Neodiprion lecontei: one gene and its partners. The protein of the gene in region 1 interacts with the protein of each later gene in a biochemical or structural test. Links are inferred from orthologs where the notes say so. Each region holds a gene or a part of one and is shown in the gene's direction. Other genes may lie near its edges. The genes, in order: ubiquitin-like modifier-activating enzyme 1, ubiquitin-conjugating enzyme E2 C, ubiquitin-conjugating enzyme E2 H and ubiquitin-conjugating enzyme E2 G1.

Region 1 (9,205 bases):
AGGACAAAAGTCATCACAGGAGAAACAACTCTTGGGATAATGGAAATGTGGCTAATAGTCCGGATCAAACCTCGTCTCCTGTCGACCCTAGCCAGTAAGAACTAAGACGTCTCATCTATAAGTAGTAACGCCAGTTTCCAAGTACGCATAAAGTAATTCAGAAAATCAATACAGACTATTAAAAATAAAAAAAAAAAGGACAAACACAATACGAGCATGAAATATACTTCAAGCTCAACTTTATGCACTGTGCCTGTGGTATAAACCAATGAACTTAAGTTTCTCATTAAGCTGTTGTAATAAGTACCAGTATGCCCGACGATATTCTCTCAAGTCTGATTTCGTTCCCCCTGATTACAGTAACAGAAAAGGTGCAACCCTGCGAAGAACGTCGACAGTGCCGGAAGAAAGGAGCTTAGCGATGTCAAATTTCGATGATAACCATCCGCCGTTGAAGAGCCATTCTTTGAACGACGACACTTCTACTCCAGACTCTGTTTTAAGTGGGCCGATCCTGGAAGGTAACAATTTGGCTCCGGGTACCGCTGATTCCGTTGCTCCAACCGCGGCATTTCCTGTTATAGCTTCACGTACATCATCTCCATTCACTTCCCCGGAATTAGACGACGGTATTGAAACTTCGAACGTTTCCTCGCGTGGATCAAGACCGCGACAAGAAATCCCTGGCTCGGCGGGTACTAAGGTCGCTAATGGTTTGCCCGCACATCGCGTTTTTGGGAGTCTCGTTTCGCTAGATGGTGACGATCCACATTTTTTGTCTACCTCGCTAACTAATAAGCATTAGGTATAGAAAGGAAATTATCCGCATAACTTTAGTCGCAATTTGGTACGATATTTTACTTGAACAGTATAAATTATATAACATATTTAAAAAGGGATGATAATTATGCATAAAGAGTACTATTTGTTTATTTATGTACTTATTTGAATGATATTAACAGGATTGCGAAGAACGCAAGTTATGACGATAAATTTACGTTTTTGGATAAAACGATGAAACAACTACTCTTCCAAATCAAATCGCAATATCTTCAAAATAAAATAAAAATATATATATAAAATCACACAGGCAAATTAAAATGGTAGTGACGCACTGAATTCAGTTTGCGCAAACTTCATTGTGAAGTTACTGCAATTCGAGTTGGAACGAGAAGAATATTCTTCAGGCAGTGGAAAAAAACTGTATACAATGAAGTCTAATGGGCAGGCTCAAACTTGACGATAATTATCAAATGTATATTATATTTTAGCGTCATTTACCCACATATTAGATAACTGAATATAACATAGTGAGAGAGTATATTGATTATACCATAATTCTCAAACAGTGTGTTTTGCAACAAGAGATATTTTTACCCTGTGTGCAGAAGTACGTATTTGTGGTGTGCTGTAAACCGATGAAATAATTAAGGAAATGGTATAGCAGACCATTTACCTCTAATTTCTTACGTTTTGAAGAACGTAAATGTAAAGCTAACCCGGTAGTTGACTAATTATTGTAAAAGATTGAATCGTTGATAATGGAGTGCGGTATTTATAATACAGTGTAGGTGTGGCTTACATACGTAATTAAAATGCAGAAGGTTTGTTGTGAAATATTGTGGTTGTCGTCAGTTTTCTTTACTCCGCACCGTATATTACTCAGAATCTTGTATTTTTTATAATTTTCATTTTACTAAACAGTAGAGCAAATAAGAAGGCAGCTTCCTCAGAGAACAGCAATTCAAATTGAATGGCGGCAAGTTCGTCCGTACAACAGTATGTTAATAGACGGTCGACTCGTTGTTTCAAAGGCATTGATCTACCGATTCGTCATGGTTATGTGATTGTTCCGCAACTCTACCGTTAAGTATTTGAAAAGGGGCGAATAAATAAAAAATTTGAAAAAAAAACGTTCGCCATATCTCGAGTCGTTGTATATTTGTCAGTCGACGAGCAGTCACTTGACATTACTTATATTGAGAACGAATAAAAACTGGCAGAAATATGAAGCATCTGCCATACTCGCAGTTGTGCGAATTGGGGTCCGAATCATAACAGAAATCCTAAAGTTGAAAATATCCTATTGATTTATGTATTAAATTTCAAATCAGTGATTTAATCTCTGGAAGTCCGTAGGTACGCTCGCCGTTGACGAGGTGTATAAAAATTGCTAGTCCTGCGGACTTTAGCGTGCGTGCACGATGAGCTGAAGGGCGTTGGAAAAAATAGCAGCATTCTGCTATACCGACTCTACATCGGATCCCACAAGACGGGTCGGTAAGTACAGGCCACTAGAATTGACCCCAAACTCTATCAGACCCGATAAATTATTACGAGAAATAACTCTGCGCTAGCATTCTCCGTCTATCTTCAGTTGAACGTAGTCGTTGACGGAGGAATTTACTGTAAAAGTTGACGGTACGGTTCAAGTTTGGTAAGACGGCGCAGTAGTCACTTAGAATGACGAATCAAAATTTCGTTCGTGTAGTTACGGACGAAGATGGAATCACCTGTTCTACTTTTGTCCAGACTGCAGGGTTGCGATAACTCGATATCGAGAAGGCAGTGGGTGAATCGGCGGCCGAGGAGCGAAGAAAGAACGAGAAATCATTCCTGTATGGTTGGTTGTTCATCTTGTGCGTGCGTCAGGGCTAGAGACCCCAATCCTAGTGACGAATAGTCTTTGTCTTAACGTGAAGCAGGTAAATCGAAATACAATCGTGCACGTTGTCGATCGAGGAAAGAAATCAACGCGGCGAACGAGGGAAAGGGCTGGAAGAGGGAAGAGCGAAGAGAGGGTGGTGCGGAAGGACGTCGTAGAGAGGAGAGGAGAGGAGACGTGTTGCGCGTGAAGCGTAGGGCTTATCAGTGCAAGCGGACGAGGAAAACAATCGACAGATATATAAAACTGCTTCCTTGAAGTCCGATGTCTAGTGCTGAGGTGGTGGAGAGCTCCGTTGACCCCCCAGCCAAGAAGCGACGCGTTGCTGCTGCGACTACGGGAGGAGCCGAGAACCCCACGGCGATCGTAGAGATGGCGAAAAATGGCTCGACTTCCCGCGCACCGGCCGAAATCGACGAGGGACTTTACTCCCGTCAGCTGTACGTCCTCGGGCACGATGCCATGCGCCGAATGGCGTCTTCGGACGTTCTGATATCGGGCCTCGGCGGCCTGGGTGTAGAAATTGCGAAGAATGTTATCCTCGGCGGCGTAAAGTCCGTGACCTTGCACGACGACACCGTCTGTCAAATAACCGACCTCGGCTCTCAGTTTTACCTGACCGAGTCTGACGTTGGAAAGAATCGCGCCGAGGCTTGCAGCTACCATTTATCCGAGCTGAATAATTACGTCCCGACTCGTCACTATGCCGGCCCCTTGTCCAAGGAATATATTAAAAATTTCAAGGTCATTGTCCTCACAAACACATCACTTTCCGAGCAACTACGCATATCTGAAATAACCCACGCCAATAATATCGCTCTGATCATCGCCGAGACTCGTGGTCTGTTCTCCCAAGTCTTCTGCGACTTCGGCCCTTCTTTCACCGTCGTAGATACCAACGGTGAACCTCCGATCAGCGCCATGGTAGCCAGTATATCCAGGGACGTCGAGGGTATTGTGACCTGCCTCGACGACAGCAGGCACGGCATGGAGGATGGAGATTACGTCACCTTTTCCGAAATCCAAGGCACCACGGAGCTCAACGGCTGTGAACCCAAGAAGATCAAGGTGCTCGGCCCGTACACGTTCAGCATCGGAGATACCACAAAGTACTCGGAGTACATTAGAGGCGGTATTGTGACTCAGGTGAAAATGCCAAAAACATTGGAATTCAAGCCACTCAAAGTGGCTCTGAAGGAGCCGGAGTTCCTCATCACTGATTTTGGCAAGTTTGACTATCCGGAACAACTGCATCTTGCCTTTACCACACTGCACAAATACATTGAGACTAAAGGACGCCTTCCTCGCCCTTGGAATCAAGAAGATGCCCAGGAATTTGTAGCTGTTGCTAAATCGGTGAAGGAAGATGGTGGAAACGACATTGAGATTAACGTTGAGCTGCTAGAAACTTTTGCCAAAGTTTCCGCCGGAGATTTGAATCCCATGAATGCAACGATCGGAGGTGTAGTTGCTCAAGAAGTCATGAAAGCTTGCTCCGGAAAGTTTTCCCCAATTTTCCAGTGGCTCTACTTCGACGCCATCGAATGCCTGCCCGCTGATAAGTCGGAATTATCAGAGGAGGATGCCTGTCCAACCGGGACTCGTTACGATTCTCAAGTTGCCGTGTTTGGGAGAAAATTCCAATCGAAAATTGGGGCGCTCAAGTACTTTGTCGTTGGAGCTGGCGCAATTGGCTGTGAATTGCTAAAGAATTTTGCCATGATGGGTGTTGGTGCGGAAAATGGCTGCGTCACCGTGACTGATATGGACTTAATTGAAAAATCCAACTTGAATAGACAATTTTTGTTCAGACCTACGGACGTTCAAAGATCCAAGGCTTCTACCGCTGCACGAGTAATTAAAGGCATGAATCCTAACATGAAGGTGATTGCCCACGAGAATAGAGTTGGACCAGAGACTGAGAAAACTTACAACGACGAGTTCTTTGAAGTACTCGATGGAGTCGCCAATGCCTTGGACAATGTGGATGCCAGAATTTACATGGACCGAAGATGTGTGTATTACCGAAAACCACTGCTTGAATCCGGAACCCTGGGAACCAAGGGAAACACTCAAGTTGTTGTGCCGTTCCTAACGGAGTCTTACAGTTCGTCTCAAGACCCTCCGGAGAAGAGCATCCCAATTTGTACTTTAAAGAATTTTCCGAATGCCATTGAACACACTTTGCAGTGGGCCAGAGACACCTTCGAAGGACTATTCAAACAGGCTGCGGAGAGCGCAGCTCAGCACATCTCCGATCCTCTATTTATCGAGAGGACTCTGAAGCTGCCTGGTGTTCAGCCCTTGGAAGTCCTGGAAGCTGTTAAAACAGCTTTAATAGACGAGAGACCAAGATCTTTTACGGACTGTGTAGCGTGGGCTCGCTGCCACTGGCAAGAACAGTACAGCAACCAAATTAGACAGCTGTTGTTCAACTTCCCCCCTGACCAAGTGACCACCAGCGGTCAACCGTTTTGGTCAGGTCCCAAACGATGCCCGGTACCACTGACATTCGATTTGAATGATCCCTTGCATTTGGACTATATCATTGCCACGGCAAATTTGAAAGCAGCAGTTTATGGGATATCCCCTATCCGCAACCGCCATGAAATTGCAAGCATTGTATCGCAAATCAAAGTACCAGACTTTGTACCCAAGTCAGGTGTGAAAATCGCAGAGACTGATTCTCAGGTTCAGGTTTCCAACGGAAGTGGAAATGTGGATCACGATAGGCTGAACCAGCTGCAAGAAGAGCTGGCAAACGCCGAAGGACTCGACGGACTCGTCATTCACCCACAAGAGTTTGAGAAGGACGATGACACCAACTTCCATATCGACTTCATTGTAGCAGCCTCAAATCTTCGTGCAGCAAACTACAAAATCCCACAGGCGGATAGGCATAAAAGCAAGTTGATTGCTGGGAAAATTATACCTGCTATTGCAACAACAACATCCGTCGTTGCCGGACTCGTATGCCTCGAACTTATCAAGCTAGCCCGAGGTGTTACAGACCTATCGATATACAAGAACGGATTCGTCAATCTTGCTCTACCTTTCTTTGGATTTTCCGAGCCGATTGCTGCTCCAAAATTGAAGTATTACGATACGGAATGGACTTTGTGGGACCGCTTTGAAGTAAAGGGAGAATTAACTCTGAAAGAATTCTTGGATTACTTCAAAGAAAAGCATAATCTTGAGGTCACAATGTTATCACAGGGAGTTTGTATGCTCTATTCATTTTTCATGGCAAAAGCAAAGTGCCAAGAGAGAATGGGCTTGCCTATGTCGGAGGTAGTCAAAAAGGTTTCTAAGAAGAAACTCGAGCCTCATGTACGTGCTTTGGTTTTTGAACTCTGCTGCAACGATAGTGATGGCAACGACGTTGAGGTTCCCTACGTACGTTACACACTGCCCTGACTCAGCGACTATACTTCATAATATAGGAAATATCTACTTAACTGATTAGTTGTAGTGATTTCTACAAATTTCTATTTTAAAATACGATACAGGAAAAATATTATTAACCGTTTGACCCCACACATATTTCTCCCACGGATTGTAATGCAAATTTCATTTTGTTTGGCCTCCGCTTTCTCGCGTAATCCTTATTAGCTATTGCTAGTTGCAGGAATTCTCTCATGATTTCTTACCAGTGTCAAACGAAAAGAATTAGAGTAAAAGGAACGTAAAATTTCGTAGTGCTTAACAAATTACTGAATCTGTGAAATCAGAAATTAACAACAATAAAAACTTTTTAGTTAACTTTTTTGCCAAAACATGTGATTTGTGGGTAAGAAAACTTGGAGGATGTTTCACACACTGTATTTGTCGAGTGCAAATTGATAAATTAGGTTTAAAGAAAGATGTTTGGTACAGAAAAATGTTAGCGAATTACACGAAAGATACATGTCGAATAATATTGAATAGCTGAATTGCAAACTGTATCTTGCCATCATCGTTTGTCACTGATGGTTGTGGCCAATAGTGTAAGATGATTGTAGTAGTTTTTATAGAATTCAATTGATTCTTTTGCTGTGAAATCGCCGTCATCATATCTCTATCTTATTTTAAAAAGTTATGAGCGATAAAATACTAACGATTTAATTTATCCGCTTCATAAAATCTTTTTCAAAAACAATGAATAATAATTAATATTGGCTTCAAGACTGTTTGTTGTTACGAGATATACTGCATTTAAATTTGTAAAATATCTTTCTGAGAAGTTTCGAGAATGGGAAAAGAGGAGAAAAATAATCAACTTCTTTTAGACCATATAATAGTGGAAAAATACAAAAAAATAAAATATTGCGAAGTAAAAATGAAAAAAAATAAATAAAAAAAAACCAAGTAATGGAAAATATTTTGTTTATTCTAGGATAACGCGGATATTTATTGTATTATTTGATCCATGATAAATAAATAGATGTGTTTGGATTTCACGAAAATACGAAATATAAGTATGAAAATAACGTGCAATTTCTGTTTTGTTATGTTCTTCAACTCCCTTATCATTTATTCGAACAATCGTCTGGTGAAGAATATGCGCAAGACTGCTGGGATTATAACTTATGACTCATAAGACGATTGCGATTAAAAGAAAAACCTGCCTCAGATGACTTATACCTATGTAGTCATAAGTATGTAGTGATTAACTCGTAGCTAGAAATATGTGTATTATATATTTTCGAGGTAGGGGGATGCCGATTGTGACGTCACGGCGTTGATTCAAGCCTCCAAGCTGAAGACGGAATCGTAAAAATACTTTGACGATTAATAAGTTATTTTTGTAAATAATGAATCACATGATTTCTTCGGTTAATATGATTATTATTCACCGATTGTAGCCGAAAACAAAATCAAAAATTGGCTTATCGGAAGTCAAGGTTAGGATCAGTGTTGACAAGCATCAACAGTGGTTCCATGGTTGGGTAGTTGAGGTTAGGTATTAAAAACGGCGCGAAAATGGCGCAAAAGTCTATCACGTGAGTTGATAATGCATATGTTTCATTAATAACACGCCAGAAAATGGTGTGAATAAACGAATGATTACCGATTCATTATAATATGTACTCTGGTCGATGATATTTTTTGATTTCAGTTCATTTTTCACGAAACGTGTGCCGAAAATTGATACGAATGATCTGGAGTCAGAGCTAAGGTATGCTTTTGTACTACCAACAATGTAAAAATCCTCCTAAATTGAATATATTTAGATATAATTAAGAATATGCTCAAGTTTAACGTGATTTTCACGCTGTTTAAATCTCGTACCATTATCCTCGAGCAACCGGTTATCTCGTTAACACGACTGCTAGATAGTAACGGTGTATCGTGTTCTTCATTCAATTGGTTACATATCGGTAATAGTTTGTCCAAGAAGAAAGATGACGACGACAGTCCTTCAGTTGCTAAAAGGAAACGAGTGGACAGTTCTAATGGCACTGAATCTATAAGGTAATATGACAGTAAATGAATTACGATTATTATCCGAGCTACACTGTTTCAAAAATTGTTCATGGACTGAAAATTGTTTACTTAATCTTTTCGCAGCCCGCCACCTGCGAAAAAAATCAGTACTAGTGTCAACGATGCACCATCTACCTCATCGTCACAAAAATCTCCTGGATCAATTCAGCGTAGACAAATAGGTACGATATGTATAGATGTGTTTATGACTTTAAGTATCCTCTCTTTCTTCTAGTCAACTTTACTAGACTTTGTAGTTTTGTTTTGGAGTGATTCGATTCAATTTTACTTTCTACATCCCAATGTGAAATTCCTTGAATTACAGCTCCAGTTAATTTCAAAGGTAATACACTGCATCCAGAAATAGTAAAGAAACTAGAAGAGAGCAGAGTAAAAATTCAAACTCAATCATCTTCAAATGTGAAGATTAAAGATGGTCAAAAGAAAAATCCACTTTCACTCGCATATTTAGGAAAAGAAAATGAGAACAAATCTGTTGTCAAAGATGAGGATGTCAAGAAAACTACACCCAAGAGAACCACGACAAAAAATGATAATCGTAATTCTAAAAACAAAATTAATCAGAGCGCCAAAAAACGAGCGAGAATAATCCCTCAGGATGATTCTAGTGACGACGACGTTCACTTGGCAGTAAGTTTTCAATATTCACTAGTGAGCCATGTTGTACAAATATTCAGACATACTTCTGTGATTATATATCAATTTGTTTGTCGTTACTCAGCTCCCAGATAGTCCAATTAAACCAGATGCTAAAGCATTTCTGAAAAGTCCTGTTAAAAAAGAGATGGAATCAGAGGATGATATATCTCCAAAAAGTAAGCACGCCTCGGAAGAGGAAGAAGCAGAAAGTCCTAAGAAAGCAAAAGTGGAAAAGCCAAAAGCTTCGCCAGCGACTAAAAAGTCTCCGAAAAATGTTCATAGTTTCTTTGGTATGGTACACATTAATATTGTAGTTTCAAAGTTCTCAGTCTCATTGTTTTACCATTTCGTTTCTTAATATCCGTGAATTTCTCTACTTCGTAGCGGTAAAACAGAAGAACGGTTCAAAACCTG
Region 2 (6,838 bases), on another chromosome or scaffold:
TAAATAACATGAATCATGATAACAACGATGATAATAATTGTATTAGATTATATACACGTGAGTTAGTAAGGTGTCGTTATTTGAGGTGCGCATCGTTACCGTCTGAGTCTGGATCTCCATCGGTAACATGACTGTCCACGGGCAAAGGTAAAGGTAATATTTCAGGCTGAAGAGGCGGTGGACCTGGCACAATGTCTTCGACGATAACTTCCTCTGCTAGGCTACTCCTTACAGCCTCTATCACACGACATATAAAAGAATTGGGCAAGTATAACCTAAGTAAATTGTAATTTGAGTAATTTAATTTGATGTAACATGTAATTTATTTTTTTATTGGTATGTACGAATTCTTGATTCGAGTTCATTCTCTGTTTCGTTCCTTGAACCAGATTATAATAACAAACAACACTATGGGTCAAATATTGCTAAGAATGTATTAAAGATCGAAGGACATAACTAACCATTAAACGCCTGCGGATATTGTTGGCTCAGTTTCGTCTTGACCACTCGAATCCGCTTGAAAATGTGATCCAAATCTCGTTTCATCTCTGCTAGCAATGTCGTGTGTTTCTTAAACTCGGCTCCCGCAGTCTTCAAACGATTTATCGATAGCTGATTGCAATTTGTTAGCATTTCGTTCGTTTTCTCGAATCTTTGGAGCCTGAAAATTGAATCAAAATAATTATCACTAAGGTATTTAATAAAAATAAAAAAATCGGCAACGAAGCACTCGAAATTAAGTATAAGAAATTTTCTTTCAACCAATAATTTTTAGAAATCAGTGACGTATTTCAAATTTTGCGCGTTATGCGGACGTTTGGCTAAAAAATCGATAAGCGGGGGGGATAAATACACAACATAACCTCATGCCCCGATCGAGCTTATACTTAAATAAATATTTATCCCATATCCTCACATTTGTTTCTGAGCACGAATCATGGATTCTACATCTTGTTGATCTACGATGCCAGCTAGACCTTGTACGAAAACCTCCGGGGCTGTGTAATTTTGAAAACACTCAAAACTTCCAGCGTCGGACTCGGGCGTCCCTTGGATGGCCGCCATTTTTACAACACGCTTGACAGTTCGACTACTCCGTGAGCTCAACCCACCGTTCCACTGCTCTGAGACAATACGCCTGGCGCAGCAGCCGACTGCAATTCGGTAAACACCATCTGCGTCATGCGCAGTCGCTATTGCGCAGCTGTATTCGACAATCGAGACTCGCGTGGCGATATCTGTTTTCGAACGAATGGATAGGGTCGCGTTTCAACGCTTCAAAATTTGAATTGCCCTGTGAAAAATGATTCGCCTGATTCGATCAATGCATTTTGCATTGTCTTACATCTGATTATGAGGACTGCATCCACAATGTGTGACTCGAACAAGAAAATATTTTGTGAAATATTCCCGAAATGCAAATAGGGCTGGACGTGGCTCCACTTTCTAAAAAAAGTTATTGGTAGTGAGGACTCAAGAGCCAAGAGACGACTAGGTCCAGCAGTTTTCTGGTAAATGGTAGAGAGTGCAAATCGATTGTGTGCCCTGAAAGATCCAGCAATTCAGCGGCGTTAGTGTTTTACGACAGTGAGTAAATTTTACTTGTTCCATTTTTTCAACTATATTCAAGTGTTTATTAATAATATAAAGGTTTCTTGAGTTACGTATATAAATACGGCGTCATTTATGCACATATACTTCGAAGTATACGGTATGGCAGAAAGGAGCGCAAAGGAAGTACGTTATTATTTACCTAATCGAGAGTTTCAAAATTTTCATGAGAAAATACAGATACTTTATACGATAGTTTAGACTTCTGTTCAGTTCTGACGCTCGGGTCTCATCTGGCATCAAAGTGACCTTTCACGCTTTTCTGGAAAAAATATTGTATAGAGCACGCCCGTATAGTGTTTTTAGCTCGAAAAATGATTTTAGTACTCACGTTTGTTCCGTCTTTAGCTCGTACTTAAATCACCATCTTTATCCTAAAAACACCCACATACCTACTTGAAAAAAAAAAAAAACGCTGGCTGCTCTAACATTTGTAGTGAGGTTGAACGGAGCACATATAATTCATTCAAGTTTAATAACTGCACTGTCAGTAAGTGTCACAGTAAAGATTTGTGTTAGTATTATTATGTTTTCAGTAATTTTTCGATTCGGTGATCAGGAAATTAAGGACAAGTTTTTTAGCACTTTTCGGAAAGGTTTGAAACATACTGTCTATGAGCTAATTTTTCATTCTTGAGCAATGAGTTGAATCTTTCAGTTCTTAAGTTCACGAAAGGTAAGAAATAAAATAGAACCTTATAGAAATGAGGAGTAATGCGCTAACGTCGTTTCCTAAGTTTGTAATTCGCTGAATCTCAACAAGTATGGCCGTGACTCGTGTCAAAATACGGTTACTCAGTGGCCATGCTCTGTATTATCCATTGCTTTCGTGATGGTAAGTCGAGCCTGTTACCGACACGCGTTTACGACTGAAAATTAGTTTCAAAAATTTATTTCTTGTTAGAGGACGCTAGTACTGATCACTGTAACCGTTCACCGGTGATTTACTGTAGGAACCGCCGAGTATGTGGAAGAAATATGTAATACGTGTTATATTAATTTGTTTTCAGTCCGTCCTATAAATAAGTACGAAATAAAGGTTTACAGTTTTGATTTATTTGTACAAAAAATACGATATAACGATTTATTTTCATAATTCGCGGAAGGAAGTCAAACTACTATCCATATTTACAACAAAGCCCGTGTTTTTACTTCAGAAAATTCCATTCTGGATGAAACTAAAATCAAAATACAAATTATTAATATACAAACTCAATAATCTATATGGGATTTATGTTGATTAATAGTTGTTTTGACTTTCGATGTATTTAAGAACGGATAATAACATGGGCGCATTCAAATTTTCACTGTTGACTGTTGTGCTTGTGTCGGTTTTCGGTTGGTAGACAAAAGGAATTCTTTATCGTATTAGCGGATCTGGTATAGTTGGGAAATGGCACAGAATATAAACCCGTTCTACTCGTCTCAAAGTACGCCTAACAAAGCTAAGGAGGAAAAGCAGAACGTCCCAAAAGACAATCATGCAGTGAGCAAAAGGTAGGTACAATCTCTACCTCAATTTTCCCAGCCCTCGCGCAGTATCGACATTCGGTCAAACGGAATTCAATTACTTACGTACACACTTGGTATGATCAAACTGGGGATTCCACCGCGTTTTTCAGCCCCATAACCAAACTTTACTCCCATTATTTCCAAATCCCTCACTCACGCCAAATGATATGCTCGCGTTTATTTCACAGGCTTCAAAAGGAACTCCTAGTCCTGATGACCAGTACTGAAAAAAGTGTATCTGCCTTTCCAGACGGTGAGAACCTTTTCAAGTGGATCGGAACCATAACTGGCCCACGAGACACGGTAAGGTATTCTTGTACCTCACACACAGTTTTTGTCAAGATAAAATCTCTTCGAGTAAAAAATTTAAAACCAATGTACGAGGCAATGGTGCTTCGAAAAAATTATTTCCAGACTTTACGCTCCTTACACGATTCCCGGAAAGTTAGTCTGCTCGATCATTCTGTGTTTCGAGATATTTTGTATACTGTTCAACGTGTCTTGTGACAATCTAGAGATAACCCAGTAGCTGGAGGTCTAATTGCGAAGTTGATTGATCGCTAAGCTCGATTGAAAAATAAATTCAAAAGTATTATATATTATGAATTGTTGTCCAAAGTCAGGCATGGTACAAAGCGTGAGGCCATTCATTTACAAATTGAATGAAAGATAGAAAAGAATAGCTTATCAGAATTAAATTGACAATAGGAAATTTCCAATTAGTTTTCAATGCTTTCCTATGATTGTGATGTTTGAATCAAGGTAAATATTATCGTACAAAGTCCTGTTTTGTTGGTTTAATGCGCAATACTGCAGTAACGGAGTAATGTATATAATCTAATGTAATAAACAGGTATATGTGGGGCTGACGTACAAGCTGACACTGGAGTTCCCACACAGTTATCCGTACAGTGCTCCGGTGGTGCGCTTTGCTACCCCCTGCTTTCATCCAAACGTCGATTCAGCCGGTAACATCTGTCTGGATATATTGAAAGACAAATGGAGTGCGTTGTATGATGTTCGTACCATACTTCTATCTATACAATCTTTGCTAGGGGGTAAGTGTTTCAAATTATAGTCATTGATTTGTTGCATCCTCGTTTTACAGATAATAGGTCTGTAAAATCTATACCAAATATGAAGTATGTTTTTTTGTTTCAATTTATAAACTGTCTGAGCTTTCTAGAAATATATTTAATTACGTTCGCATGAATAATTTGTCTTTCCTTGGTTTGTTTTCTGTAGAGCCGAACAATGAAAGTCCACTGAATCCTCAGGCCGCTGAATTGTGGCCGAATCAAACGGAGTACAAGAAACATTTGCACGAAGAATATCGTAAAGCTCCCAGTCATGCCAATCAGGACTCATGATAAACCTACTCTTCCACACTCCTTTATCGCTCTATTACCACTATCGTAATTCTCAGTACAGTTAAAATACACGTACAATTGAGGCATGCGAGAAACACGCATTATTATGACGAATATGTACCTACGACCTTTTTTTTTTTTTTGTTTTCGCTACCCTAACTTTACTTTAGTAGACATACATACGAATGTTGGTCACGTTTTTGACGTAATAATAAAATTGTAATATGTAATCGAAACCTCTTCAAAGAACAAATTAAAACTTTGTGATTGTTAATAATTCACACCTCTACGAGGTTTCTAGTAATATAGTGTGATTTACTTTCGCGTAAAGTGAGCATGTATACAAATTCATTTATATAGGGGACTGATCTCAAATACACGCCGTCTACATTCATAATTTTATTATTTGTTTGATTTTGAATAAAAACAAACGTTTATTTATTTTATATATGTAATAATAAATATAAATATCTAATATCTTGGTACAACAAGGCGCTGACGTATATAACGTTTACATTTGTGGATCATTTTCAATTGGTTTATTATTGTGTAATGCTAAAATAAATATTTTAAGACCATGCATATACTTTCACTTCATTTTTCTATTGTTGAAGCAAATTATGATGATTTGTCGATGTATGTACTCAAATTCTATGGTTTCATATTGCTTTGAATTTTCTGCAGTATGTAAATTCCAGAGATTCGGATTTGAATAAAATTAAATATTCAAATTTCGGAAAACTATACGTTGTTAGTAAACAACGGCAAATTTTATACGTTCATCTTGTGATATTTTACTTATTTGACTTTTACAGACTCCGCGTGATTAACTATTGTCTTACATGTGGATGAGAAATAATTTAACCAAAATAAGTATCACTACAGAATTCAGTAGCTGAATAATTCCGTTACATTAAAATATCGGGGCTAGCAGTGATCATATAAAGCCCCCAAAAATTTTAAAACATCGTAAACAGTGAAAAAATTAATTGGAAATAGCGTGGAAAAAATTCTCCGAAGAATTATTCTAGCATTTATTTTCTTTGTCACTTAATTTTTCGTACCGACATATAACGGTCACAGCCGCTAATTCTAAATTTAAAAATATAAATATGGAAAGGTGATGTTTTGACCGGCTTATGATTCCTTCTTTTCATTAGAAAGGAAAGTTACTTAAACGTTTAAAATTATCATTGACAGTAATTTACAAAATATATTTAATATCTGCATGAATATAAAAAAGATTTTAAAAATTAAACTCGAATATTTTTGTGCGCGAGCTCGCGTGGCGCGATATTAAAAGTAAAAACGCACAAAATCAAGTGAATAGTTCGATACGAAATTTTTTTTAGTATACTACAGTAGGCAGTATCGTATAGTTATTGGTGTATCAGTTTAATCCAGCTGCGTTAATTAGCAGTAGGATATGCTGTCATCTGTGGTGAAGCAAGTCGTGAATGCATTCGTTAAAAAAATACCTAGCAACAAGCTAATATTTACTTCAACGATGAGAAACATGTCAACGAATTTTGAGGTATGGTAAGGCGAGAAAAAACATGAAATACGGAGAGGTTATGTATGACGATATTATTCCATAGACATATAAGAATAGACCGCGTGACCGGGCTGAGAAGTTGGTAGCGGAATAGAAAGAGAAAGTTGCATACGGGACCGCTCTGTTTTCGTCTAGTCGCGCATGCGCGAACACGTGTAACACTGCGAGGCCAACTTTTACAAGGTCAAAGCCAAAGAATACGCACGCAGAACAATAATCGCACGATTTTTAAAGGACAATAATTTTTTTTTTAAGTATTTTCAAATTATTTATAAGTATGTAATAACCAAAGTCAAATGAGTCAAAAAGAATATTCGTGCAAGATAAAATAATATTTTTATATGTTATGAAAATATAACATGTTTTTACATATTGTTTTAAGTATAATAATATTCAACGTTTTATTACAGCATATGATCATACAGTATGTACTTGTGTGCATTATTCATGTTTGTTACCTAATAAAAATGATGAATAGCATTTTACGATTTAATATTCAATTATTTAATTTCAATGTTTTATTGGTATTATTCTTATTTTTAAATTATAACTTCTAATTTTTGTTTTATGTACAATATATAAGAACTTCCATCCCTCCATTCATTTTATATTTCATTCTTACTAAAAAAAACGCTGAGCGCGCATGCGCGATTAGATAAGGATAGAGGGGTCCTATATGCAGCTTTCTCTTTCTATTGCGCTATCACATTCACGAACGGGCCACCTCCGTTACCCCCGCGGTCTATTCTTATATGTCTATGATCATCCCACTGGCATGTTTACCACGTGA
Region 3 (6,822 bases), about 30 Mb from region 1:
CAGAAAAAAAATGAGGAAGAAAACGCGTTTTTAATAATTTGAAGACAGAACTTTTAGTATTGTGTCATTACGTGCGTGTTTGATAACGATACTAGCAATTGTCATAATTGAATTGAATTCTGTTACATACATTCTGTTAATACATTTAAAATCTGTAAAAAAAAAATGGACGAAACTCATATTTCATAGTTAATTCACAATTTGTAAAATATTTCATTTCGGAAACGACCATATATGTATCGTATGTTTTGTAATATATTTTTCTTTCATCCTTGATAAAATGGAGGAAAAGAAGAAAAACGAAGCTATTAAATATCCGAATTATGAAATTTTGTAGTCTTGTAATTTACGTAAATTAACGTCAACCGTTCGACTAACACACGATGGGTTAGGTTAATTTATATTCTCTACCGGTAGAGTAAACGAAGTGACTTGAAGTGACAAATTAAAAGAACATCTAGCACTTCAATGATTCCGTACATTGGCTGTTCGGCGTTGGGCAACAGAAATATTGCCAATAATAATTACAAAACTTGTTTTGTGTTTCAAAGACCGCAAAAGACTATTAGTGTACGGCCTAAAAATATTACCTTAGTATAGCATTGGATTCCGAGCGCTGTCAACGATCCAAGTCGAAACTAATCGAAATAACGCTTCTCGGCGTGGGTTCTATTATTTGCTATCAATGGTATGAAAACTGATGAAAACCGAGCAAAAGTCTGAAGTGCGGTAAAAAATCCAGGATTTTTACGGAGAAATAAAATGTCCGATAGTCCTGAGACTGTTGGCCGTCAGCCGTATCTAACTAGGAGAACCTGATAAATACAAGGGGGCTATATTTAAATTGCAATTCATCATTCCAAACCAATTATCCGTTATTCCGAAATACGCTACAGGGTATTACGTCTATTAGGTTTACGGGTGGTAGGTTCGTTATAGCTTTTGCCCAACAGCCACCAATTTCTAGAAAATAATAGGGAATATTCGTGGGATTTGTTCGTACCCGTAATAGCTACATAGGATGTTACTGCACATGAGGAGTTCTGAAGGTAGCTTGCGTATACAGAGAGTGTAGCGGAGGAGTGAGAGAGAAAGAGGTATATGTTTGTTATAATCTATCTCTCTCGCTCCACACCTGATTGGCCGATACGTTTTCTCTAAGCCAATCAAAAGCAGAGTGAGAGACGCAGAGTAACCCTACACACGCCCTAGTATATATCTATCTCTCACTACTTCCGCTGTATTTTTCGCGAGATCGATGGGATGATCAGCTCTCTCCAGTAGTATATGCTCTAAGGTGGAGAATTCCTTCCCACCTGCTGGCAGCTGCTGGCGCCACCTTTCAAAACAAGTTTTGAAGAGAGGAGAGAGAAAAAGGACAGATACATGCAATCTGCGGATGGTGTGCGTGTGTTTGTGTGTGTGGTACACAAGCAGCCCACGATACTGCATGGATACATAGGTATGTCAACGTAGGAGTGCGCAGCGTGTTCGCGCGACAAAGAGCTACACGACCCCGTCGATTTGGAGAGGGATGGAGGCGCGCGGTGGTGGGATGCTAGGTGAAACAGTCAGTCAGATGCGCCAAGTCAGAGGGCTGACAGGTCGCGGAGTGCGAGTGTGAGAGCGAAAACGATGAGAAAACTGTAGTAGAGTTCTGGAATATGGTATATGTGCGACAGGCGAACTAGAAAGAAAATAAGACGAACAGGTTCGAAGTGCAGTAAAATTGTGTTGAAATCGAACTGGGTCGGGAAGGCATAATAAAGAAGAGCCCGTAGCGAATTTTGAAAAACCTCGCCTGCATACATAATAACTAAGGGAAAAACGGAGCGCGTATATGTGTATGCATAGATCGTCGCGTCGTCGTCGTGCATCGTGTGTAACATACATACGAACGTACACCGTACGTACGTCGGGTTAAAGAAAATCAGCCCACCAATCAATCCTCGTCGAAATGATTATCTAGCATTAGCGTAAACTCGTCGTTCTCCTGTGAGGGTTGCAGTGGAGTTTGGTGACAAAGAGGAATCGTTCGGTTTTACGCTACGTGCGGACTGACGGTTTTTTCAATAACCTAGGCCAGCTAGCTGGCTAGCCACTTCGATAATTACGTGGATCTCGTTGTCGGTAAGGGAGATCGCTTCTTTCTTCGATAGTGTTTTCTTTTCACAAAAAAAAAACAAGAAAGAAAAAATCACGTACACATATCTTCTTTCCGATAAATAGTATAGATAGTGAGGTATACATAACGCGACAACAAAGGAACGTCAACGAATCTCAATCGCTGTTGGTATCCTCTGGCTGCGCATAGGTTTTAAAATATACGCGTGCATACATTTGATGTATACATACATTAACTAACTCTACCCACACATGAATTACACATGAAACTCGGACGTGTTTTGTTTCTGGCTACGCAGCTGCTCGATTCTTTGTCTCCCTCTTTCTCCGTCTATCTATCCTTTTCTCGCTCACAATCAGCGGATCACCCTGCGTGAATTTACTTGCATTGTCGATCGTTTTCCCCGAGTCGCTTCGTCATCTTTAATTTTCTTTGCTTTAATTCCAATTCTCAATTTTAATCATTCTTCTCTCTTATCTACTTGGCTTCTGCGTCGCGACGTGTTTTTATACTCCTTAGTTCCCCTCCTCACCGCCTTACTTCACATCCCACCCCCCACTTCTTCGCCCACTCGTAGAACCGACCGCCCATGTGTATAAAGTTGTGATGACCGCAAGGTCTGCTGCAATTTCATGATTTCATCAAACCAGGTCGTCCTACCTTAGTTAATTAAACGACGAGAGGGTGATCAATTGTCCACCAAAGTGTGATTCAGTGTGCTCGGATTATAACAATTCACAAATTTACAACGTCAATGACAGTTCGGAACAACGTGAAGAATAAAAATAAGTGAAATAACCTAAAGTTCAGTGTGCTGCTGCGGGTTTTCGGAAAATCTGGCGAACCTGATTATTGAAATATTGCTAACAGTAGTGGAGGTGAAAAATACCTAAAGAATATATTTCTTTTTATCCGTCTAATCGTGTAGACAGTGTTAATGTTACGCCGAACAGACTGGAGGAGAAATATAATCCCCCCGATCGTGTTTACCGTCATCGTCGCTGTCACATAAGCAGACCCAGCACTCGATCGGCAAGCCGATCTACCGATACGATAAAAGTTTTGGATATTTATTTATTTATATTTTAATTTCTATTTATTTTAGTACATTTTTTTCCCCTTCGTGTTTTGGTTGTCGTCGTTGTTGTTGTTGTTGTTGTCACTATTAAACAAGAAACATGTCGTCACCAAGCGCTGGAAAACGACGTATGGACACCGATGTCATCAAATTGTATCCTTGACTCATAAAACATTGCCAGTATACATGATGCATAATATGTAACATACTGTAGAAAATAATAATTATTATTGACACACGTGTTATAAATTGCGATACACCAGACGTTGTTAGAGAATCCGATAAGTCATTCATTCGACGTTTCGTCAGTAACGCGTCCATCCGCATGCATCCACGTACCTTTACACATGCATACATACATAATACCTATGTGTAAAATAAATTATTCATTTTAACCATGCTCCGACCTCTCGTATATCCTTTCATACTTCCAATCACCATCGTCCTTCCTTTCTAATCGTCTTCGTTTTCAATGCGTGTAATTTCGTTCAAAATTTTCTCCAATTTCATCATCATTCACTCATGTTTCCTAACCAGTTTACATGCCCGTCGATATTAGGGGGCCCCAGTTGTTACGCCCCTGGTGCATCCCCTCCTCAACGCCGTCGCTAGTTCTCCATCCCTCCTTTTCTGTCTTTCTCCGTCTACCGCACAGCTGTTTTTAACAACCAGCTGATTGCTGTACACACGAACATGTATAATACGTGCCTCTTGTACGTGCACGCGTTTAAAAATTTTTATCACTTCAGAGGTCAGAAAATCGAGAGTAGTAAGAATAAGAAAACACAAATTCGACGTAATTTCTTGCAGGATGCATAATTTTTACAATTTGCAGATAGTTTTTAAAATCCTTGTTTCTTTTGGAACGAAGTTCCTTATCGCTCGTTCACCGTAGGGGCTAGGCGGAAAAAAACGACACCAAAAAACCGACACTTTTTGGCTATAGTGCTCGTTTGCTATAGTGCGCGCGATCTCCCTCTCTCTCTCTCTCTCTCTATTCCAGCGTGTGCGCGCGCTCTCTCTCTCTGTCTCAGCGCTTGGGGTGGGAGACGGCAGCAGCGGTCTCTCTCACTCACAGCGCACGACTATACTTCGCCCCTCTTTCTCTCTCCTACAGCGTACAACTATACTTTGGGCCGCAGCGCGCTCTCTCACAGCGTACGTCTATACTTTGCCTCTCTTTCTTTTTTTTTTTTCTTTTTTTCTGGCGTATTCCAAAAACTTTCTCTTTTCCCCCGTTCTCTAGCCTATTGAAAGTTTTCTCATTTTCAATTCTACGCGAGCGATTCAACTTTCATTTTATTTTCAACCTTTTCCGCCAAACCATGTTTTCGCGATAGTCTTCATTCTGTTTGTTTCGTCATTCTATCACTTTTTGCTTTGCTCTCTGCCATTTTGAAATCGATTCTCAGTTTTTTTTTTCTCTCTTTCACTACTGTTCGCGAAACTGGCGGCTGCGCTTTTACCCATCTCGTAACACGAATGCAGAGTGTATGTATGTATGTATATATGTTCAGGTAGATGATATTATACGGTCATACAGCTGTTCTTAAACAGCTGATTGAGCGGCTAGAATGTACATAATAAATATAACGCGCGCTAAAAGGAAGACGGCATATTAACCCTTGGAGTTACAGATTATTGTGCCGAGTCAACATTTGTAACAAGACAGTATTATATGTTTTTGGGATCGCTGATTACGAATCTGAAATTAGATTTCACAAATTCAAGATGGCGGAGCCAATATGGCGGCCTAAAATTTCAAATTTGACAGAATCCAGTTCAAAAAACTATGCAGGAGTCTTCGGGGTCGCTGATTAGATTCGTGGTACTGAATTTTCGAAATCTGGTTTCACATTCGTAATTAGCGACTCCAAAAACCCCGGGACAGAGTTTTTTTCTCCGGATTCTATTGAGTTTGAAATTTTCATTCGCCATATTGGATCAGCCATTTTGAATCTTTTAAATACAATTACAGATTCGTAATTAGCGACCCCAAATCTTATACTTTATGTTAAACATGTATATGTGTAGAAGGATGTTTCTTAGAAATCAATTATTCCTTCAGTTTTCAATATTTTTTTCAATCAATTTATTTCTAATAATAATAACTTACATTGTGTCGCAATAATTACTCTCGAGAATTGAAAACCTATTGGTATACTATTAGAAATAGTAAAAAACCGCAAAGAAACATGTTTTCAAAGTTCTCTAAATATACAAAAAATGGATATAAAATAGGTGGTAAGAATACTTACCACTACGACTCAAAGAATCAATTCGCGGTCGTCGTCGTCGTTGTTTTAGCACTTTGTCTAACGCAACGGAGATTTTCGTTAGCTTCTTTCCACAGTTTTCTCTGCACTCTAAGCTATATCATATGTATATGTTTATATATGCCTTCTGTTTACGAAGTCTCTGCCCCCGCTTTTCCCTCCTTCTCCCACTTCCACCCTCGTTCGTCGACCCTCTGCACATTCATCGCCATATAATGTGTTCGGTTATCATTATTGTTGTTATTATTATTACCTTATTCCATTTTATTTTCTCTTGTCGTCTTTCTTGGGTTTTTTATTTTATTTATTTTTTTTTTGTTTTATTCTTTTTTCTGTTTTCGCTCGTATATATTCGGGGTATGCTTCAACGTGCAGGTTTCTCGCTCCGCAAAGATCAATAACGGTTCTACAATTTTACACGTCGAATCGTTTTCTCTGCCTGTTCTTCAAGCCAGTTACCTCGATTTTGGATGGGGCACGACTTATGCTAGTTCCGCGAGGTAGCAAAAAACGAAACATAACAACACTTCCCTTGCATAATGCGTGCGGTGATGTCTGCGGCAGATTTAACAGTTCTTATTTATTCATTGAATTATTTATTTTCTTCTTTCAATTATCAACACCTCGCGTACATGCAGTTCAACCGTGTTATGTTTAGTATAATTATTAAAGGAATAGGCAAACAGTCGCAATGTGTACAAACATGTAACGTATCATGTCATTTGGCAATTTTAAATCAATAAACCGAACTTACGTTTATTTTTTTCGAATAACTTTTACGGTATACACGTACGCATGTATATTATACACGTGATAACTACACGACGTGTTATATACCCTTAACTATGATACGTCAACACTTCTTTATCGACATTCTGCGGTACGCGATTTTTAAAATACGCTAAAACGCTGGGGTAGTCGATCATTATTGTTCGTTATTATTGTACAACGATATGAAACAACTTTTCTTGCGGTCCTTGAGACAAGAGAGTTTTTCATACTTCCGAGAAAATATTTTATTATTTTACTTTCCGTTTTTTCTTCAAGCTTTATATGTATAAACATATTTTGACTCACAGAATCAAATGTTAAAATCGCGAGTTTAGTTTCCGGTGAAAAATGAATCGATAATTCGATGGTTTCGGAGTTAGCAAAGAAAATATATAATAATTCACCCCGCTTGTCCTCCTGTCCACCCTTGTCGCACTCACAACATCAATCATTATTTATACGCTATACCCATCGGAAAGATATCGTCATTCTGAGTTTGAGAAACGCTCAAGTTTTTCATTTTCACAAACGTATATCAATTCGATGTGACCCCCGCGCTGTCGCGGGTCAAG
Region 4 (8,952 bases), on another chromosome or scaffold:
CGGAGCGCTTATCCTGGAAGTCGAGAAATTTTATTAGCGGACTGACAGCCACCGAATTCGGGATTGCGCGAAAAACGAATTGAAATAATTTATTGTAAACATGAACGAGGAACCACGGAGCGCTTATCCTGGAAGTCGAGAAATTTTATTAGCGGACTGACAGCTACCGAATTCGGGATTGCGCGAAAAACGAATTGAAATAATTTATTGTAAACATGAACGAGGAACCACGGAGCGCTTATCCTGGAAGTCGAGAAATTTTATTAGCGGACTGACAGCCACCGAATTCGGGATTGCGCGAAAAACGAATTGAAATAATTTATTGTAAACATGAACGAGGAACCACGGAGCGCTTATCCTGGAAGTCGAGAAATTTTATTAGCGGACTGACAGCCACCGAATTCGGGATTGCGCGAAAAACGAATTGAAATAATTTATTGTAAACATGAACGAGGAACCACGGAGCGCTTATCCTGGAAGTCGAGAAATTTTATTAGCGGACTGACAGCTACCGAATTCGGGATTGCGCGAAAAACGAATTGAAATAATTTATTGTAAACATGAACGAGGAACCACGGAGCGCTTATCCTGGAAGTCGAGTTTCACCGCGTAGCGGACCCGAAGCGCGGGATCCGGGAGGTTGAGAACCCGGTACACGAAATTTGCGGAGCGCGACTCTCACCCGTCCGCTCTACTGCGCGGTTGTTTCCCGACTGAGGAATTCGGCTGGCTGATTTTGAATTGGTGACGTCACTTTCTGAACATCCGACATCCAAACTTTGGTTTCGACCTTTAATACTATGTATGATGATGTATGATGTATGATGTATGATGTATGATGTATGATGTATGATGATATGATATGATGTATAATGAGTTTAGGTTTCACATTTCATACAAGAAATACACACTTTATCTCTCCTGCCGATTCCAGACTCAAGCGGCCAGGCCCTTCGATGGTCAGCCGTTGACTGAAGATGTATTCTTCAGTGAACGGGTCGGCTGATAACGCTGCCGTTCTGCGACAGTTGGATGATGAAAAATTTCGCTCGTATCTTTCAAATGTGTGTTAAAATACACTCGAAGTGTTGAGAAGCGTCGTTCTTTCTCTCCCTATCACCTTTTTAGGTCTTTAAATCACTACGCAGTGTTAAATACTGTCTCATATACGAAGCATCCATTTCATCTCGTTCAGAATTAGCGCATCCGTTATGTATTGCAGTTACTCTGAATTTTTTTCCATCCGAATACTTTTCGAAAAACAATTCCGCTCCTCCACCCAACGCAGATGCTTCACTTGCGACCAGCTAAAACAGCGTTTCGATTCTATGCCTACGAAAATTCGAGATCGAGAGAGCAAATGAAAAGTTGTTGGAATAATTGTGAATATTGATGTTATGGATTACATGAAGTGCGTGTCGAATCGAATTCCATTTCAAATTAAATAATTCTTCTATTTTCAAGTTATAGCCGATTATTGTAGATAATGTAGTTTGTCCTCCTGGAAAATTATAAAATTTTTGCGCCTGTCAAATAGGCATCCGCCCATACGCTGACGCAAACATGTAACTCGCTAGGCGTTCGGTTTAGATTTAACCTGCATACGGAGAATTTTTACGGATACATAACATAATGAATTAGCACTTGAATTAGAGACAGCTAAAATGTAAATGTTCTAGACGAATTTTCATGAACAAGTCGATCGCTCCTAAAGTGGGGGCCTTATATCCAATAAGGTCCATGATGGGAATTTGTGGATACGTCGTTTGATCTTGAAAAAATAGATGTTTAGTTTAAAATCTCTGAATAAGGTATTTTTGGACAGTTTTATAATAGGAGGCTAGTTAATTAGTCAATTTTCACTGCAGACAACACTTCGTTGATGTAAAATTTACCCGTGGGATTTGGTGTGTTTAAGGACTTATGCGATGGTGCATGGAAGATGCATCGATGGTATCATCAATAAAGAAGTTACCTGTAGTTACCGGCTCGATTAATGGGGATGCCGGTTTTCGGAACGCTTGGAGAAAACTCTACCTGTGTGTGATCTACTCGTGGCAACTTCTCGCTATACCGGCGTCAACTAGCGATGACTTTGCGATCCTTCGACTTCGAGCATATACTAACGAAGGTAGCTCTCATGCCGTCAACCCACGCGTCAACCTCGCCAAAACTGCAGCCGAAATGATGCGTGAGAGAACGAATTTACTCGTTACAGCCTGTGCTCTCATTCTGCATCTGATTGGCTGGAAGGAAACATATTGGCCAACCAGGTGTAGAGCGAGAGAGGTAGGCTGTAGTGAACATATCCTTATTCTCTCTCACTTCTCCGCCATACTTTTTGTGCACGCGAGACTACCCACAGCAGTGTATGCTCCAAGCCTTCGGCAAACGGTATAGTGTAATAATTGTCTGTAGTGTGGCTAGCATGCTGACGAGGCCCGTTCGAGCTGGCAACCCTGTGCGCAGTACCGCTTCCGACGTACCATCTTTCCCGTGAAGCAAGAGTGATTGTTTTCAACTTTAGTCTTATTTAACACAATTTTTATTAATGTCAGAGCCACAGTCTACGCTTCTACTAAGAAAACAGTTAGCAGGTACCCTAAATATTATTTAAATACATAAATGCAAGGCGTGAACGGTGAATTGTTCGTAAAAAATGCTTGGTCATTTTTAGCTACGAAACGGTCGACCTCGCCAACACGGTCGATTCACATTTCTTTGTCAGTTGTGTCTATCTGGGAATATCTTTAATTAAAATCCTACCGAGTACCGCGACGTACACAAAATTTTGATCACAGATCCTATAAATTCCCGGCGTTAACTTGAGCGCAAAAATCAATAAAGTTACACCCGTGTACCCCTGTGAATAATGCTAACCTAGCATTTCGTTTTCTACCAGAGAACTGCCCAGGCCATGCGCCCTGACGTGAAATGCGTCACGAAGATTACCGTCTGCTTATTTTTAGCCTTTGCGTGCTCCACGTATTACGACGCGACCTTCTTCGTTTAAAAAAAACGCCATAGTTGACTCGAATATCAGTTCCCAATACAAACAATTTTTTCTCTTTATTATCTTCTACCTGTTCCTCCCTTCTCCTGGTCCACAAGCATCGTGACAGGAGTCGACCAATTCACAAGGTTGGGTCAATCTCTGGAGAATACCTCTGATTATTATTAGTCTGCAGTCATCTCCACAGAATCTTTTGAACGTTCACTTCCTTTGTGACAACTCGTCGTAATTTCACTCATTCGTCCGAAAATATGATACTGCATACGAATATGAAAAAATAAAAATACGAATAATAAGTTATTTCGAGTACTGTAAATTTTATCCAACCCGTCATTTGCTAGAAACAAAATTTTGTCAATCTTAGATAGATTAATAGTACTCACTTTACACTATCTCTTGACTATATATTCGTAATTATATTCTATTATTATTAAAGCCCAAGAACCTGGTATCTGTTTAGGTTTATCATTTCGTACATTTAAAATTCGGATCGTCTAGGGTCTTAATGTATATAAATCATTTAATCAATGGTCAATCGGACCAAATTGAATCCCATTATGTGTGACAGTAGATTTACTTATTGCCCTGCTTGATTGGGAATTAATGTAAAGCACGCTGCCTTTGTATTCATTACAATGTATCCATACAGCACTTGAAAAGAGACGGTTAAATGTTTCCTTTCACTTGATATAATATTTGACAAAATTTGAACAGCATTCACATCTCTGAGCAAGAAGGCAGCTGCATCATGTGGAATTAAATAGATGGGCGCAAACTCGCATCGATTCGATCCATTTGTTGTCTTAAACAAGCTGATCTGTGCTTGAGTTTGATTAATTTTATAGCTGACGATAAAATGTAATCCTATGTTTATTGGGAATTTTCTGTCCAATTTCAGAATTAAATAAAAACCCAGTGGAAGGGTTTTCAGCAGGCCTCATAGATGATAATGACATATATCGATGGGAGGTGCTCATCATTGGACCTCCGGATACATTATAGTAAGGATTAACGTAACTCTTTTTGTGGAATCTTTTATATCTTCTCATATTGTTATTTGGTTCAGTGAATTATAATGAAATGATGCTTGAAAGTACGAGTTCCCACTTCAAGAAGCTGAAATTTTGAAATTTTTTCATCAATCACTCATGCTGTATACACTGTATTATGAATAATCAAATTAATATTGTTTTTAAGTTCAAACATTTTTGAAACATTATTTCTGAAATGCCTTTTTTCTGCATTTATGATCTTCGATAAGAAATAACAAGATAAGGCAGCAAGGATTATTCAACTGCAAAACTGTATCTTATTTTTCATTCAATTATTTGTAATTTCTTATCTTTTATCTATTTATGATTTATACCGACTCCTTGAAATAGTACTTACCTTACCGGGTAGATGAATAGATACATAATAGCTCTATTGTTGTCTCAAAAATATTTGTACTTGTATTGGCAAGTCCTAGTTCTAGTCTAGGGAGTCTACATTTTTTACATTGCATCAGTCTAATTTAAGTAGTTCACTTGCTGCAATTTATTGCAAGGAAGAGTTAGAATAGATGAATAACATTTATCCTTTTCTCATTTCAAGTGCATAATATGTGTGAATAAATTTCTTTTTACAGCGAGGGTGGTTTCTTCAAAGCGCATTTACAATTTCCTAAAGAATATCCGCTGAGGCCGCCAAGGATGAAATTTATAACAGAAATATGGCACCCTAATAGTAAGTTGTTTCGATTTTTATTTTTAATACAGTTATAAAAAAAAATGTATCTTTATAGTATCATATTAATTTTGACTTGTAATGAAGCTGCGAAGAGTATAGTAGTAACCAAACTGAATTGAACTGTTTGTGGAACTATGTAACTTGCTCGCTGAAATTGACTATAATTGAGATAGATATCCTTGTAATGTATTTGGACACAAAGAATAATGATTTTAAATAGTTCCAAAAGTATTGAATTCAATTAGACACTCAACATTTTCCAAGTTTTAAGTTCAACTTGGTTTTTTAACAGTCGAAAAGAATGGCGATGTGTGCATATCGATCCTTCATGAGCCAGGCGATGATAAATGGGGTTATGAGAAAGCATCAGAGAGATGGCTGCCTGTTCACACAGTTGAAACAATTCTTATAAGTGTCATCAGCATGCTCGCTGATCCTAATGATGAAAGTCCTGCAAATGTAGATGCTGCTGTGAGTAATATTTTCTGCACTGTGTAAATATTAATATTGTATTTAATAAAACAGTACTTGATTCATAATTAAACTTGTCAATGTTTACAGAAAGAGTGGAGGGAAAGTTATACAGAGTTCAAGCGAAAGGTGGCAAGATGTGTTCGAAAAAGCCAAGAAGAGTGTTTGTAGGGGAAGAACGAATATTCAAACGGAAAGACTTATTTAATTCTGGTATGTCATATAATTTTTAACAGTAAATTAATTACTATGAGATCAAATCAAAAGCACGAAACAAACACAAGACAAAAACATGCGACCATATGGCCTTAAACACGTTATACATTTCCCCGACGTTACGATTGTTCTGAGGTCTACCATAACCCAAATTATTTTTGTTCTATGACTACAATTAATTTTGGTCTTCAAGTTGTAAAATTAAAATCATAGTTTCAGGACTGTTATTATCGTCATATGTTTCATGTCTGTAGGAAATAATGGGTAGTATAGCATCAAATATTCTGGACTTATCTCCAAGATCCTTTCCACGCATTTTAAACTATGATCAAGAATTCTTCATTCCAGTACGTAGTATCCGTTCGCAGTAAAAGAAACTTGCCAATTTGTTAAAAGAACAAACCCTTTGTTTATAACATACCTTTAATTTAAACACCCAGAATTATTTTACCATAACGTAAGATACGTCAAGTATTGAATAGTTTACATGATTCGTCTGAAATGTTTTGTCCCTCATTTTAACGTGCATAATATTGTAGTGTTCTCGTTATTGATTAGTTAGTGAAATATGTTCATTTCCCAGACTGCTGGATCTATAAAAAGTGGAAAAAGAAGTAGAGTTGAAAATGATTGACGAATTTGGTTATATCCACAGGGAAACCACGCACTGTATGGCATAAAACCAAGCGAATCATGCGGATATTGGAATACAGTGCCACTGAATACGGATTAGAGCAAACCTGGGCGAGATACCTCGTTAAGCTCTGTTGAGTCGCCGAACCATCAACAACGTACGAGCCATCGACATGAAAAACATGAAAACACACACAGCTCACCTTTCACACGATGAACTAATTTACAAATATACATAATACAAATCATCTGTACCAATAATACCCTAATATTAATAGTGATTGTAAACTTAACCCCCCTGTCCCTCCTGCCCAGCACTCTGTAATTTAAAGTATGTTTACGTTTATCACTCAACAATATTCCTTAGCGTCGTTTCATATTTTCTTACTTTCGTATTATAAATAAATTTTTGTAAAGTCGTAAAAAAAAAAAAAACAAAGAAGCAAGAATCGTTGACGTAAGCCAGTAAAATACAATGTGAATTACATTTATATCATTATAATTACCGATACCAGACGTATAATTGCAATGATTGCAATATATATATATATATATATATATATATATATATACTCTGTGTGTGTGTGTGTGTGTATATATATATATATATACATATATGATATAAATTTTTGCCGAACCGTAAGTTGCCAAAATAACGAACGCTAGTTAGAGTAATGATAATAATGAATAACAATAATAATGGTAATTATTAGTTGAATTAATGTTAAGTGCACACGTACATGCTGTGAAACATTGTACTCGCTCTTCGTCACTATGGTGGCCATTTATCCTTCCCCACCTCTCCGACTTGCGGTTCTACTACAAAACTTAGGTTGAAATTGAAATAATTTTGTCCAACTATATATAATAATATTGTCAATTAAATTTTAAAACAATGAATTTTCACGACTTATCACTTTTTTTTACCTTTTTCTATTATACATTATACAGCTATCGTTCTGTACATTGCCGTAAACAATCTGGTATTTATTACGAATGGTTTAAAATGATCTGTGCTTATGTCGTTTGAAGTAGTAGAAAAGTAGGAAAGTATATGTTGTAATTATAATATTGAATCGGCGTGACTATAAACTGAACTGAAAAAGAGAGCCAGTAATGTTTTTATAATTAAGAAGATCCGTGGAGATGAATGTATAACATCGTTAAAGCACCGATTTGACTAAATTGATAAAATTAGACGTGTCCAAGATAAAATCTAATCAATCCGTTAACTAGTGGAACGAAGTAGGCTCTTCCTTACATATTGTAACGCTGATTTTACTGCGATCAAGAGTTAATTACTGAATTCCAATACTGCATGCAGAATGTTCGGATTTTACGGCAAAAGAACTGTTGAAGAGTGATCGAATTGAAAATCCTTGGAAACAGAAGCTAAGATTTAAAACGGTGAAATTATTCACTTGTAAGATTTGTAACAAATCTATGAATAAACAATAAACTAGCCTACAACTAGCTAGCGAGTGTTAAATACGAGCACGTTCTTTGTTCGTCCTGTTGTGGATTTTTTATTCCACATATTTATCACACCCTTTATCTAATTTAAATTATTACCTGCTTTTAAATTTTACAAAAATATTAGGTGTTAAATTTTTGATATAGTTTCTGTTCGAAGTTCGGCGTCAAAACTCAAAGTGTTACTGATTGAGAAAATGTTCTCACGTTATGCACATCACAGTGATCTATGAGCGTCGGATCAAATCGTACAGGTATAAATATCCAAGCTCTTATTTTACCCATGTGACTGACGTTTTGACGTCTAAAATTGTTATTAGACGCTGCAAAATTATCAAGAAAATATGCAAAGCCCATGGTGATTAATCGGCTAGCATATCTTCAAGTGTTGAACGGCTGCAGTAAAAAGGTCAATTAAATTTAATCGCGGCATTGGAATCAAGCATGCATCGGTTTTTCTATGACGTCACTTTCTAATTGCAAGTCAAAAGTCCCCATCAATTAATTTCAACGTGAAATAACAAACAATCTATTCGCTCACTCTACCTACGGATTGATTCACAACGAATAGCGATGTTCCTAAACACGGAGGTATACGCTATTCGACGCAAGTCAGTAGGAAAAACAAAGTTAACTTAACGAATATTTCACTGAATGATCGATATGCTCACCAATCGCTTGATTACCTCCGAGGAATTATTTCGAGACCGAACATGAATTCGTTATAGTCATTTAGTTGAACAAGAGTATGAATAATGTGGTTGCGTTGCAGAAGAAATCTGCACGCATAGCGCGAGTGATTATTTGAATGAGACTAATGTATAATGTGGTCGGAGTTTCTAAGTTCATGCAACGATTTTGCGGCACCGCAAAAACCAAGTACATACACACTTTGATAAGGAACAAGTTGTTTCGTTTAATTAGACCACCGCCTTGCTAAGATAAGCGGTGCAATTTTATTACAAAAAGATTTCTAAGTAATATAATATTATGCTGTCCTGAACGCCGTCTTTAAGGGTTAAACTTGCAAGAAACATTCGGCCGCGATCTGATCTCCCACGCAGCATCTTCAGATTTTGGCATTGTCGAATGTCTTTCTATTTGTAGTTACAATTAGGATTATACCGCGGTTGGTCGCGTCTTTACGTAAGGTATATATATATTTATATTACGTACCTAGCACTGATTGTAATCCAGTTATGTCACTTGTCGTTATCCGCACTTCCGATCCTTGGCCGGCGCCCTTCCGGCACCTTAACAATCTTGCACCCGAAGACGATATGACGAAAATTAGAAGTTTCAACCCAAGCTAATATCGCGAATAACTGCTGGGTCTGTCAAATTCTGTGTCTGCTCAAATACTACCGGCACGGTAGATGTAACAAATAGAACATGGCAGGACGGTAACTTGAGATCTG

What was found.
Region 2: of the proteins of ubiquitin-like modifier-activating enzyme 1 (region 1) and ubiquitin-conjugating enzyme E2 C, one has a biochemical effect on the other in vitro, tested with the Homo sapiens proteins (5 studies listed by BioGRID, with this or other methods). The link is inferred for Neodiprion lecontei from reciprocal best matches to the Homo sapiens genes UBA1 and UBE2C.
Region 3: of the proteins of ubiquitin-like modifier-activating enzyme 1 (region 1) and ubiquitin-conjugating enzyme E2 H, one has a biochemical effect on the other in vitro, tested with the Homo sapiens proteins (3 studies listed by BioGRID, with this or other methods). The link is inferred for Neodiprion lecontei from reciprocal best matches to the Homo sapiens genes UBA1 and UBE2H.
Region 4: of the proteins of ubiquitin-like modifier-activating enzyme 1 (region 1) and ubiquitin-conjugating enzyme E2 G1, one has a biochemical effect on the other in vitro, tested with the Homo sapiens proteins (3 studies listed by BioGRID, with this or other methods). The link is inferred for Neodiprion lecontei from reciprocal best matches to the Homo sapiens genes UBA1 and UBE2G1.

Annotation. Positions count from the first base shown.
Region 1 is NC_060264.1:983,454-992,658, forward strand, and holds ubiquitin-like modifier-activating enzyme 1, read left to right. Parts: upstream 1-2,391; 5' UTR 2,392-2,929; coding exon 2,930-6,082; 3' UTR 6,083-7,141; downstream 7,142-9,205. Other genes in the region: kinesin-like protein KIF12, read left to right, coding at 1-94, 361-805; DNA ligase 1, read left to right, coding at 7,893-8,119, 8,216-8,313, 8,604-8,782, 8,874-9,081, 9,176-9,205. UniProt on the Homo sapiens protein: Catalyzes the first step in ubiquitin conjugation to mark cellular proteins for degradation through the ubiquitin-proteasome system.
Region 2 is NC_060262.1:40,788,589-40,795,426, forward strand, and holds ubiquitin-conjugating enzyme E2 C, read left to right. Parts: upstream 1-2,892; 5' UTR 2,893-3,004; coding exon 3,005-3,108; intron 3,109-3,311; coding exon 3,312-3,426; intron 3,427-3,976; coding exon 3,977-4,181; intron 4,182-4,368; coding exon 4,369-4,493; 3' UTR 4,494-5,075; downstream 5,076-6,838. Other genes in the region: kxDL motif-containing protein CG10681, read right to left, coding at 100-237, 462-661, 917-1,065; valacyclovir hydrolase, read left to right, coding at 5,920-6,027. UniProt on the Homo sapiens protein: Accepts ubiquitin from the E1 complex and catalyzes its covalent attachment to other proteins. In vitro catalyzes 'Lys-11'- and 'Lys-48'-linked polyubiquitination.
Region 3 is NC_060264.1:30,549,102-30,555,923, forward strand, and holds the start of ubiquitin-conjugating enzyme E2 H, read left to right. Parts: upstream 1-1,562; 5' UTR 1,563-2,130; intron 2,131-2,136; exon of another isoform or gene 2,137-2,775; 5' UTR 2,776-3,303; coding exon 3,304-3,356; intron 3,357-6,822. UniProt on the Homo sapiens protein: Accepts ubiquitin from the E1 complex and catalyzes its covalent attachment to other proteins. E2 ubiquitin conjugating enzyme that transfers ubiquitin to MAEA, a core component of the CTLH E3 ubiquitin-protein ligase complex.
Region 4 is NC_060262.1:29,978,594-29,987,545, forward strand, and holds ubiquitin-conjugating enzyme E2 G1, read left to right. Parts: upstream 1-2,424; 5' UTR 2,425-2,551; coding exon 2,552-2,597; intron 2,598-3,911; coding exon 3,912-4,014; intron 4,015-4,640; coding exon 4,641-4,738; intron 4,739-5,033; coding exon 5,034-5,212; intron 5,213-5,302; coding exon 5,303-5,383; 3' UTR 5,384-5,425; intron 5,426-6,083; 3' UTR 6,084-6,961; downstream 6,962-8,952. UniProt on the Homo sapiens protein: Accepts ubiquitin from the E1 complex and catalyzes its covalent attachment to other proteins. In vitro catalyzes 'Lys-48'-, as well as 'Lys-63'-linked polyubiquitination. May be involved in degradation of muscle-specific proteins.